2 linked regions of the Caenorhabditis elegans genome follow. The protein of the gene in region 1 interacts with the protein of each later gene in a biochemical or structural test. Each region holds a gene or a part of one and is shown on either strand. Other genes may lie near its edges.

What was found. Proteins that work in one complex are often made in the same cells at the same time.
Region 2: of the proteins of kin-29 (region 1) and hda-4, one has a biochemical effect on the other in vitro, tested with the Caenorhabditis elegans proteins (one study listed by BioGRID).

The regions. Positions count from the first base shown.
Region 1 is NC_003284.9:2,849,494-2,854,332, forward strand, and holds the start of kin-29 (Serine/threonine-protein kinase kin-29), read right to left. Parts: upstream 3,028-4,839; 5' UTR 2,895-3,027; coding exon 2,859-2,894; intron 1,470-2,858; coding exon 1,383-1,469; intron 787-1,382; coding exon 670-786; intron 624-669; coding exon 560-623; intron 512-559; coding exon 350-511; intron 291-349; coding exon 201-290; intron 151-200; coding exon 1-150. Other genes in the region: Zinc finger protein tra-4, read right to left, coding at 4,449-4,495, 4,548-4,674. UniProt on the Caenorhabditis elegans protein: Regulates chemoreceptor expression by phosphorylating the hda-4 class II histone deacetylase (HDAC) and inhibiting the gene repression functions of hda-4 and the mef-2 transcription factor, enabling the correct sensing and transduction of food signals.
Region 2 is NC_003284.9:16,727,907-16,732,591, reverse strand, and holds the start of hda-4 (Histone deacetylase 4), read right to left. Parts: upstream 3,034-4,685; 5' UTR 3,030-3,033; coding exon 2,889-3,029; intron 2,025-2,888; exon of another isoform or gene 1,892-2,024; intron 1-1,891. UniProt on the Caenorhabditis elegans protein: Responsible for the deacetylation of lysine residues on the N-terminal part of the core histones (H2A, H2B, H3 and H4).

The DNA.
Region 1 (4,839 bases):
CCCAATACGGAATCTTAACCAGGCCAGAGAGAACGGATCTCTTGAGTTTGTTCACTGAATCACTCGGGAAAGGAAATCCGCCGGCAACGAGAATGTATAGCAACACCCCCATGGACCAGATATCAGCTTTCATGCCGTCGTACGAGTTACCTGCAACGTTGGCTTGGAATAAGAGAAAAAATGGCAAAGTTCTCACAAACCTAATAACAATTCTGGTGCGGCGTAGGGTGGTGATCCGCACCATGTGTTCAAAAGTTGATCGCCGGTTTGAAAATTTGAAAACCCAAAATCTGAAAAAATATAAGAATTCAGCATTCCTTTTCGTGGGTTTCAAACTATAATCTCTTACCAATAATTTTAATGTTCGAATTTTTGCCTAGTAGAATGTTTTCAGCTTTTAAATCTCGATGAACAATTCCTTGCGAATGAAGATATGCAACAGCGGACGCAGTTTCAGAAAACCATTTCCGAGCAACATTTTCCGCTACCCGACCCTTTTCTATCAGTGTCTCTGGAAAAACAACTTTGCCGAATTTTTCCATACACATCATAATTATACCATATAACTCTCCACTGCTACAGTATTCGCTTACAATGTACAACATGTTGTCAACCCTCATTATCTGAAAATAAAGCTATAACATGAGGGATTTGACAATATGAACTCACCTCATAACTTTTAACAATATGCGGGTGATCGATCACTTTTACAATTTTCACTTCTCGTTCCAATTTTATCAGATTTTCTCGGTCTAACGCTGACACATCGATACTCTTGATTGCCACCTGCAATTTGTATGTTTTGCTGCATTATTAAGAGTGAGCATTCCAGAAATGTACATGGAATGAGTATTTGAATTTTACAGTGCACATAGGAAATTCAACAAAAAAAGCCAGTGTGGCATGCTCTCTAAATATTGTTTCATTAAACTTTGTGATAAAATATAGAAATTTTTTTAAGCTGAAAATAGCTATTAATTAATTTGAAGCTACCGAAAAAGTGCTCAAAAATTGTCTCATAGTTAAAAATTTCCGGAAAAAAATTCTAAAATTGTTCAAAACGATTGATTATGTTGGGCCAGGTATTCTGCACAAGTACCTAATTTTTTTGAATTTATATACTCACTCAATAAAAAACTTTAAGATTAATAAAGCGGCACTGGATAAAAAAAAATTTATATCAGAATGAAGTTTCTTGAAGTCTAATGCAAATTGACAACTTTTCAAAAAATGGGATTTTTTCACAAGCTTAGTGTTTTTTATGAACTTTCAAGCATATCTTTGACTGTAACTGTAAAGTTTCAAAACCTTTCTTTTAACTTTTACAATGATATCTAAACGATTCATGACTTTTTGAACCTGAAAAATAAAACCGGACAAACCTTAGTCTTAGCAATCTTGTGCCGCGCTATCCGAACTGTGGCAAAATTGCCTTTGCCAATTGCCCGACCAACATCATACAGGCCTATCTGAAACGAATTGTTTTGTACATAATAATGATGGTACTGTTTCAGTTGTTTTCCTTCTTTTCGCCTTCTGTACAAAACACTTTCCACTATTCACTATATTAGCAATATTTGTTCTTGTGAATGAGAATCGTTCAACCAGGCGGACGCACGTTTTGCTCTTAACCCCCATATGCGGAGCGCGTGCAGACTGACGAACAAAAAACCAAATCCAATTATAATCGACAACAATACATTTTGACTCATTCTCTCCCATCATTATGAACATCACCACCGCAATTTGAAGGGTTGCTAGTCAGGCAAAATATCTATTCGAATACAAGTTTGTCAAACTTTGATCATGCAAACAGTCCTACTATCACTTCGAATTAAATCAATTGGCTACGTGAAATGATTGTGTAATATGCTGTTTTACCACATTTTCCATCAATGAAAGTTCAATAACATCGGTTTAAGTTGTGTTTTGGCAGAATCGAAATTGCAACACTCTTCGTCAAGGAAATTTTGAATTTTTAAGAAAATAAACTTTTTACGTTTTACGGTTTATCTGCACTTTGTTTCCATAGTAATTCGAATGCAATGGAGAATCTTAAATTTAGAAAATGTGGGAAAGATTTTTTATGCAACTGCATAATCGCATCGGAAACCAACTAACATGAAAGGAAGTAATGATTTTTTTTCCAAAAAAAAAACTACGCAGGTTTTTTTATGGAACATTGTTTTAAAGGTGGAGTAGCGCCAGTGGAGAATTTGTTAAAAACCTTTTTTTATCGACAACTTCCAAAAAGTGGCGAAAACTGGGATTTTTTCCAATTTTCAAAAAATCATAAAATTCAACTTTTTTAAAAATGTTTTTAACTGTTATTTGATTACTGTGGTGTGGTGAGATAGCAATTTTTTAAATTCACAACTGACGCTACTCCACTTTTAATCTATTTTATTTTTTTAACTTCTTGCTAAAAACGTTGCATGACGTAAAGCGGTCAAAAATGCTGTGCAAAAATTTGTCGGACGAAAAAAAAAGAAAAACTCTCAAGCATCCATCTTTATGTTCTGCCGTTAAACTCTCGGCGCTCGTTGATTTATTGCCGACTGTCGAACGGATGCGTGGGAATTTGCTTGGGCATTAAACGATAAAATCAGAAAAAGACTGTTCTATGGCGGGAAACAAAAACGACAAAACGCACCTTCTCACGGTAGATTGCGCAATGTTTTTACATACATATTTTATGTAAATTGTGTGACCTTAAATGAATGGGGAGAAAAAATAAAGTGCAATCGCACGCCGAACAAGTCAATTAACTAGGCACCATTCAATTAAGTGTGGGTGTTTTGTGTGTGTGGGGAAGGGAAATTGAGAACAAAGAATGGAACAGAGAGAAGAACACCCACCTTTTCAAGGCCCATACGCCGCCGTGGCGCAGCCATTGCAGTGTTGGTGTGGCGGCGCCTGAATGCGACAAGATAGTGTCGTAAGTTAAAACAGAGAGTGCATAGAGTTTTACCACCAGACGCACATATACATACATACACGCTCTCACTCACCCACTCACTCACTAACGCTCATTGCCGCCGCCTCCGCCGCCGCCTCGGCGTCTCTTCTTCTCTCACGCTCGCCTTCCAATACACTCAATAACGCTCACCGCCATGGCGCGCTCGCACACAATTCCTATTCGCTTTCTTTCCCGCACTGTGTTTCTCGATTTTCCGCGCCGCTTTTTTCCCATCTTCTCCCACCATCCTCTCTCTCACTCTCACACTTTGGACTAAGGCAGCGGGGGGCCCGCACACACGCACACACACACAAACAGACACACATACACAGGAAAAACGCACCCGTCCAGCGACCACTGTCTCTTTTTCTCAATGTCTCGGATTTGCGTCTCTCTCTTTCTCCACGCGTGCCCGGGTCCCGTTAAGAACTCTCGTCGCTTCTTGCTGATCTCTCACACTGACTCATACAATGCCTTGAGGAGCTCAACCGGGCGGCGGAGATCGCACTGCTTGAGCAAGTTCAAGAAAATAAACTTTTAAACCACCAACAAATTAATTCACGTAGTTTTTATAATGATAAAAATCATTCAGCATTTGTATATGAGCATTGTAATAAATTTCAAATTATAGTCACTTGACTTATATGTGTATATGTTATAAAAAAGTTGATTGATAGTTAGGACTCTAAAATAAAAAATGCCAATGGAACTATAACTTTTCCAATTAAAAATACTTGAAATTAAAAACATTGAAGGATTCAAGTTTGATCCGTTCTTCAAGCACCACGTGGTGTTAGATTGTCCCATTTTGGTTTGCTTTATGTAGATCTACAAAAAATGCGGGAGGTGAGACGCAGAGTTCTCGTCAAATTTTTAAAGGCAAAAAATTCCCGCATTTTTTGTAGATCAAACCCTGATGGCACAGCCACACACCACGTGAAGCGCCATGCACCGCGCATCTGAAAGTCAAGTACACTGCCCGGTGGTACTCCCACTAGGCTTTATTTTAAGCCACGTCCAAGCCAGTGACTGTGGCCAATATTTTCCGTTAAGGTTGTGGGAACCTAAAGGGAGGCAGGACTTGTATTTCTCATGATTGCTACCGTCCTACCACCTGAGCATTTCCTGTAAGTTATCATGGTAACAAAAATGCAAAAAAAAAACAAAAAAGCGAAAGGTTCAGCAATTCAATGTGAACTATGTCATAAATTTCAAAATATCTACATATAGTAACCTGATTTATTTGTGTGTATATCATGAATAAAGTTGAATGATTGATAGCACGCTAGATTAAAACATTAAAACACGTCCATGGTCTGAAAAAAAGTAAGAGGTGTTACAGTAATAGTACAATCAACATTAAATGACAAAATTAAACCCTTTTTAACATAATCGGGAAGTGAAACAAAAACAAACAAAAAATTGAAAAAAAAATGTATCAAATGAAAGTGTGGTAGTTTTGATGAAGATCTGTGATGATGAAGAAGTTTCACTCGCCTTTGTAGAGTATCCACATCCGCGGAGTCTCCACGTATGCTGTAATTAAAATTCAATTTTAAAAATTCTGTCATTCGTTTTTCAGTGATACCTGTCGGCTCATCTGCTGCCAGGTAGCCTCCGTGCTCTTCATACACGTGATGTTTCATCTCGGGGTATTCCGCGTGACGTTCGTGACAAATCGCGCAAACATATCCATGCTCATCTCTCTTGTGTTCCTGGAATCAATATAATTAAAAGTTCATATAAGGGTATTCATGACAAAAGGGCAGGCACCAGGATATAATCTGATCTCATTGTGAGTCCTCGATTTCATCGCCGTAATAACATTGATTTTTCTTTTTTGTTTTTCTTCTTTTTTACATGTATGTTAATCCTATCTC
Region 2 (4,685 bases), about 14 Mb from region 1:
ACGATGACACTACGACGATGCACAGAGATAAAGGAAGATAGAGAGAGAGTTGGAAACACACAACATTTATATGTAGTGTAGAAGTCGAGGGATATCAGCTTTGTGTTTTGGAGTGTGAGAATGAGAAGAAGTAAGAAAAAAATTGGGAGCGGAAAGAAGAAAAAAAAAGTAGAAAGTAGTGGGGCGAAAAGCATGTGCTTTTTTTGCCGCTACTTGATGTCTCAAAATCGCTTCCTCTATCACATGAGGTCGATCATGTTTTGACGAGGCGAGAAAAATGAGTGTCACCACTGCTAAATGAGGTCAGAAGTACTTGGATTACTTGTCGCCAAAAGATCTTGTTTTTTGTTCGATGCACTTTTATCGAGAAACAAAAATATAAACGAGGTGCTGGAAAACAAGGAAACTAGAGTCAAGTCAGTGTATAGATGTAACTTTTTTGTAAATAGATAAATTCTGAGAGAGCCGGGGGAAGAAGTAAAGAAAAAATATTATAGTTTACTCTTCAATGTAATCCATAAAAAGTCTATAGTCAAGTTCAATCGACAGGCAAATTTATAAGGTTAGTATTGCTAGAAGAGACTTAAAATAGTCCTTAACGACATTTGTAAATTTTTTCAAAAATAAAATTCGTTTACAAAATTGTGGAAATTTCCTAAATTGTTGAAAACATTTCAGAATTCCTTCGTTATTGTGAAGTTTTTCAATGAAAAACTGCACCAAAATAACTTGTTCTATCTCTACGAGTTATCAAGTTCATTAGATAAATGATATCTAGACACCGGGTTTCACAACAAAAAAAAACTAATTAGGCGAGTCTAGTCTACTTGATCAAAAACCTGTCAAGTTGAGTTTGAACGATCAAATTTGGAAATTTGATTAGTCATAGTATGTAGATACATAGTATCTTTCAAAATTGAATCAGATTAAATTAATACGTAGTTTTACGTTTTGGTGAGCTACTGGGCAGGGGTGTTAGGTACAGGAAGAATACTAAAAAAACTATTACTGGAGAAATTTACTGAGATTTTACTTAACTTCGGGATAAAGGCATATAATACACAAGTACCGTTTAATGATACTTAACAAGGAAGATACTGAAGGCAAAATTCGAAAAAATAATCTATTTTCGAGTATTAAATAGCTAGCTAGAAAAAAAAATCCAGCGCGGGACTCGTGTTTTTCAGCGTTTTATATAAATGAAGAGATCTTTCTCAGAGTCCCAGTTCACTTGGAATTCACCGGCTCTGCGCAACACGGAAAGAATTCTTCGGAAATTGGTCTCGCCGTCTCGTGAACTGATCTCTGAAATGGCAATAAGGCTGCTTGAAGGTGCGTAGAAGATGATGAATTTTTGAAATTCTAGAACCAAGAAGGGGGCTAGACAGGAATTTATTATGAAGTATTGAACGAGACATTGAACTACAAAGTATTTCAAAATATAGGAAAATTGTGACACTACGTTAGTATAAAGTACAAAACATTCTTTTTTTAAAAACTGTGAACTTACATGAAAAAAATTAATCAATATTGTTTACTTTGTGCAGAATATGAAAATTCTAAGATCTGAGCCCCCAAGTTCAGTGAAAATTTTCCGTCAAGAAAAGTGCTATTTTATCTACTGGTTAGGCATTTTTTTAAATTCAAAAATAGTGAAATATTTCGTGTATTCAATTTTCATTCAACATCTATATTAAAAAAGAGATTTGAGCATTTTTTCAAGTTGTTTCCTTGAAACGATCTAAAATTCGACAAACTCAAAGAGGTGTCCTTCTGAAAAAAAATTTCCAAGAAACATGGGAAAACAGGAGACAAAAATAGAAAAAAGGCAGAATAGTAGAGAATGTAACTATTTTCAAGCTCTTGCTTTTCCTTCCCCTTCTCTTCCATTTTTTTCTTTTTTCTCTCTCCTTTCATCATGATGTACCCCTCTTCTCATCGATAAACACCGACAAACAACATCGTCAGGTTTTCCAGGCTTCTATTTTCGACACATCCGGAAATAACCTCTTCTCCTATCTTTCATTTCGCCCGTTTTTAGAGAGAAAAAAAGGCATGAGAGAGAGAGAGAGAGAGTGGGTGTGTCATTGGACTATTTCTAGCTGAAAATACACTCATCTGATGGGAATGTATTTTGGAACGATACGTAATACTTGAGCTATGATGCTATGTAGAACATACAAAGCTAACGGTAAAGTCAATTGGGATTTTCTTTTAGATTTAAGAAAATGGGCCATAATGACCTAATATATTTTTTAAAGTTTTTGATTCCAATTTTGCAAAAAATTATTTGAATGAATTAACTAGTTTAAAATTCCTAGCGCAAATCAGGCATTTTCCGGTAATATTTAGTTGTTTTTTTTTTGCAATATTGTTTGCCAAATTTTCAGCTGTTTTACTGTGAACTAAACATACTAACTCTAAGTTCGAGTTTTATTTTATTCTGTTCAAAATTGCAAAAAAAAATCATCAAAAAATCTAGAAAATTCGCATTCATTTTATTACAAATTTTTTTTCAGTTTTTAAAGATGATAACGGTTTAATTGGATGTAGATTTCTTTTTATTTTCCTTTTATTTTTTGAAAAAAAAAACAATTCGGTCATATTAGCCAAGGTTTTTTAAAAAATATTTTCAACTATTTAGAGACTTAATAACAAAGTTTATCAAGTTCTTCACAACTTTTTTAATCAAAAACTAGCCAATCAATTTCTGATTTTTTTTAATTTTCAAAAAACATTTATAGAATTTATGGTGAATCTACAAAAAATGAATCTTAAAAATAAAGACTGTGATGCTAAATAAAAATAACAAACTTTTGCCAAAAATTGACTGATGCTAGAAGTTAGATCCAGATTAGAAAGTTATACAATAAAAAAAATAGACTCACCTGAAGCTGTGATTGAAGAAGAGCAATACTTTCCGGCTCAAGATTCGTCTGTCCTATGGCAGCTTCTGATGTTGATGGCAAGTTGGGAACACTTGGTCCAGCCCCACCAGCGCTCCCCGTTGAGGAGCTGGCTTCTTCCATACGCCTGCAAAAATGGAAACAATATTAAAAATGATCCGAGTTATAGATGATGCCAGAATATAATTATGAAAATAAATTGGCATATACTCTAGTTTGAAAATTTATGTTCGAAGGTTCAATACACTTATATTAAAAATAAATGTATGTTAAGTTATTAAAAAATTAAAATGTTTGAAGGAGAGATGTTGCAATATTTATTATGTATAACAATTTTCAAAAAAAGCCCTTTCAAAACATGATAGGTGTGAAAGTAGAAACTAAGAATTTGCGGCATTGTGTAAAGGAAGCTCCGGTTTCAAGAAGAAATGATATAATAACAGCTGGTATCATTTATTGATAGCCTCGTAGCCTCTGTGTTTGTATATTTTTTACACATATGGAAGACTAGAACAGAGATAAAAATCTCAAAGACTGAAACAAGCCAAAATCAAAAAAAAAACAAAAAACAAAGAGTTTTGTGCAGAGCAAGGTGTGAAAAGAATGGGAGAAAAATGGTGTTAAAGCAAGTTTTCAAAACAATGCTACCTCGGAAGATGAAAAGACCACCCGCGACAGAGTTTAAAAATGAAAAGAGTCGTCGGAAAGGAGCAAAAGTCGGGGTCTCTTCAGCTTCTGTTACTTTTCTGGCTCATCACACAACTTATTTTTTCAACATTCTAGTGGGACACAGGAAACAAATCTTTTAAAAAATGGTTTTTTTTCAAAAAACCGTCAACAAATGATTGTTTTCTAAACATAAAAATCATTTTGAATACTTGCATAAATTTATTTAATTTGAATTGTTTTTGGAAAATGTCACTTTTTTCAGGTTTTTAGGGAATCGAATAAACTGGAAAGATGCACTGAAAATGTTCAGAATTATCCTTTGGCGCTAAATAAACATTTGAAATGTAATTTTTGGTTAAAAAAACTGAGCTCTAACAGTGAAAGCAAATTATATACTCCGTTAGATCAATTTGAACTTTTGGTTGTTGTACTTTCAGAAAATATGCACCGATTTACTCTAAATTTTGCTCGAAAATGTCCAATGATTTTACAAACCTTTGAACAGATCGTCTACCCCTTCCGAAATCAAATAACCGAAGCAAAAGTTTCCCCTCAAAACCTAATTGTTTATAAATTTCATATTCAATTACTTTTTGCAGAATATCTCATTTCACCACCGGAATGCGGAGGTGTTGAACGGACGCAGAAGCTCTCATCAGTAATTTATGACGAAGTACGTCATAGATGTACTCTAGCAAAACAAGAAAAAGGTAAAAATTGGAAACTAGCAACCACAATGCAAAATTCAACATCAGAAGTTGGAATGAGAATTGGGCTGCGGAAAAAAAAGTGGGGGAAAGACCAAAGAAAGGAGAAGATATAAAGAAACTTTTTGATGCTGACAGAGAAAGAGTCCGCATTATGTTAGCTATTCAATTCCAATTGGAGAAATGAGACACAGAATCCGCCGTGAAAAGAAACGATCAATTCTCGATTCTAGTTTTCAGAAACTGATTTGAAGAGAAGTAAAATATAATTTTTATCAACATTAAAATTATCAATTTCTAAAGATCAGAAACAAATCGGCACGACGAAAAGTTACTTGCAAAATGTATGGTTTATGATAAAACATTTGAAAAAAATCCTCAAAGGGTATATTTCGATTTGAAC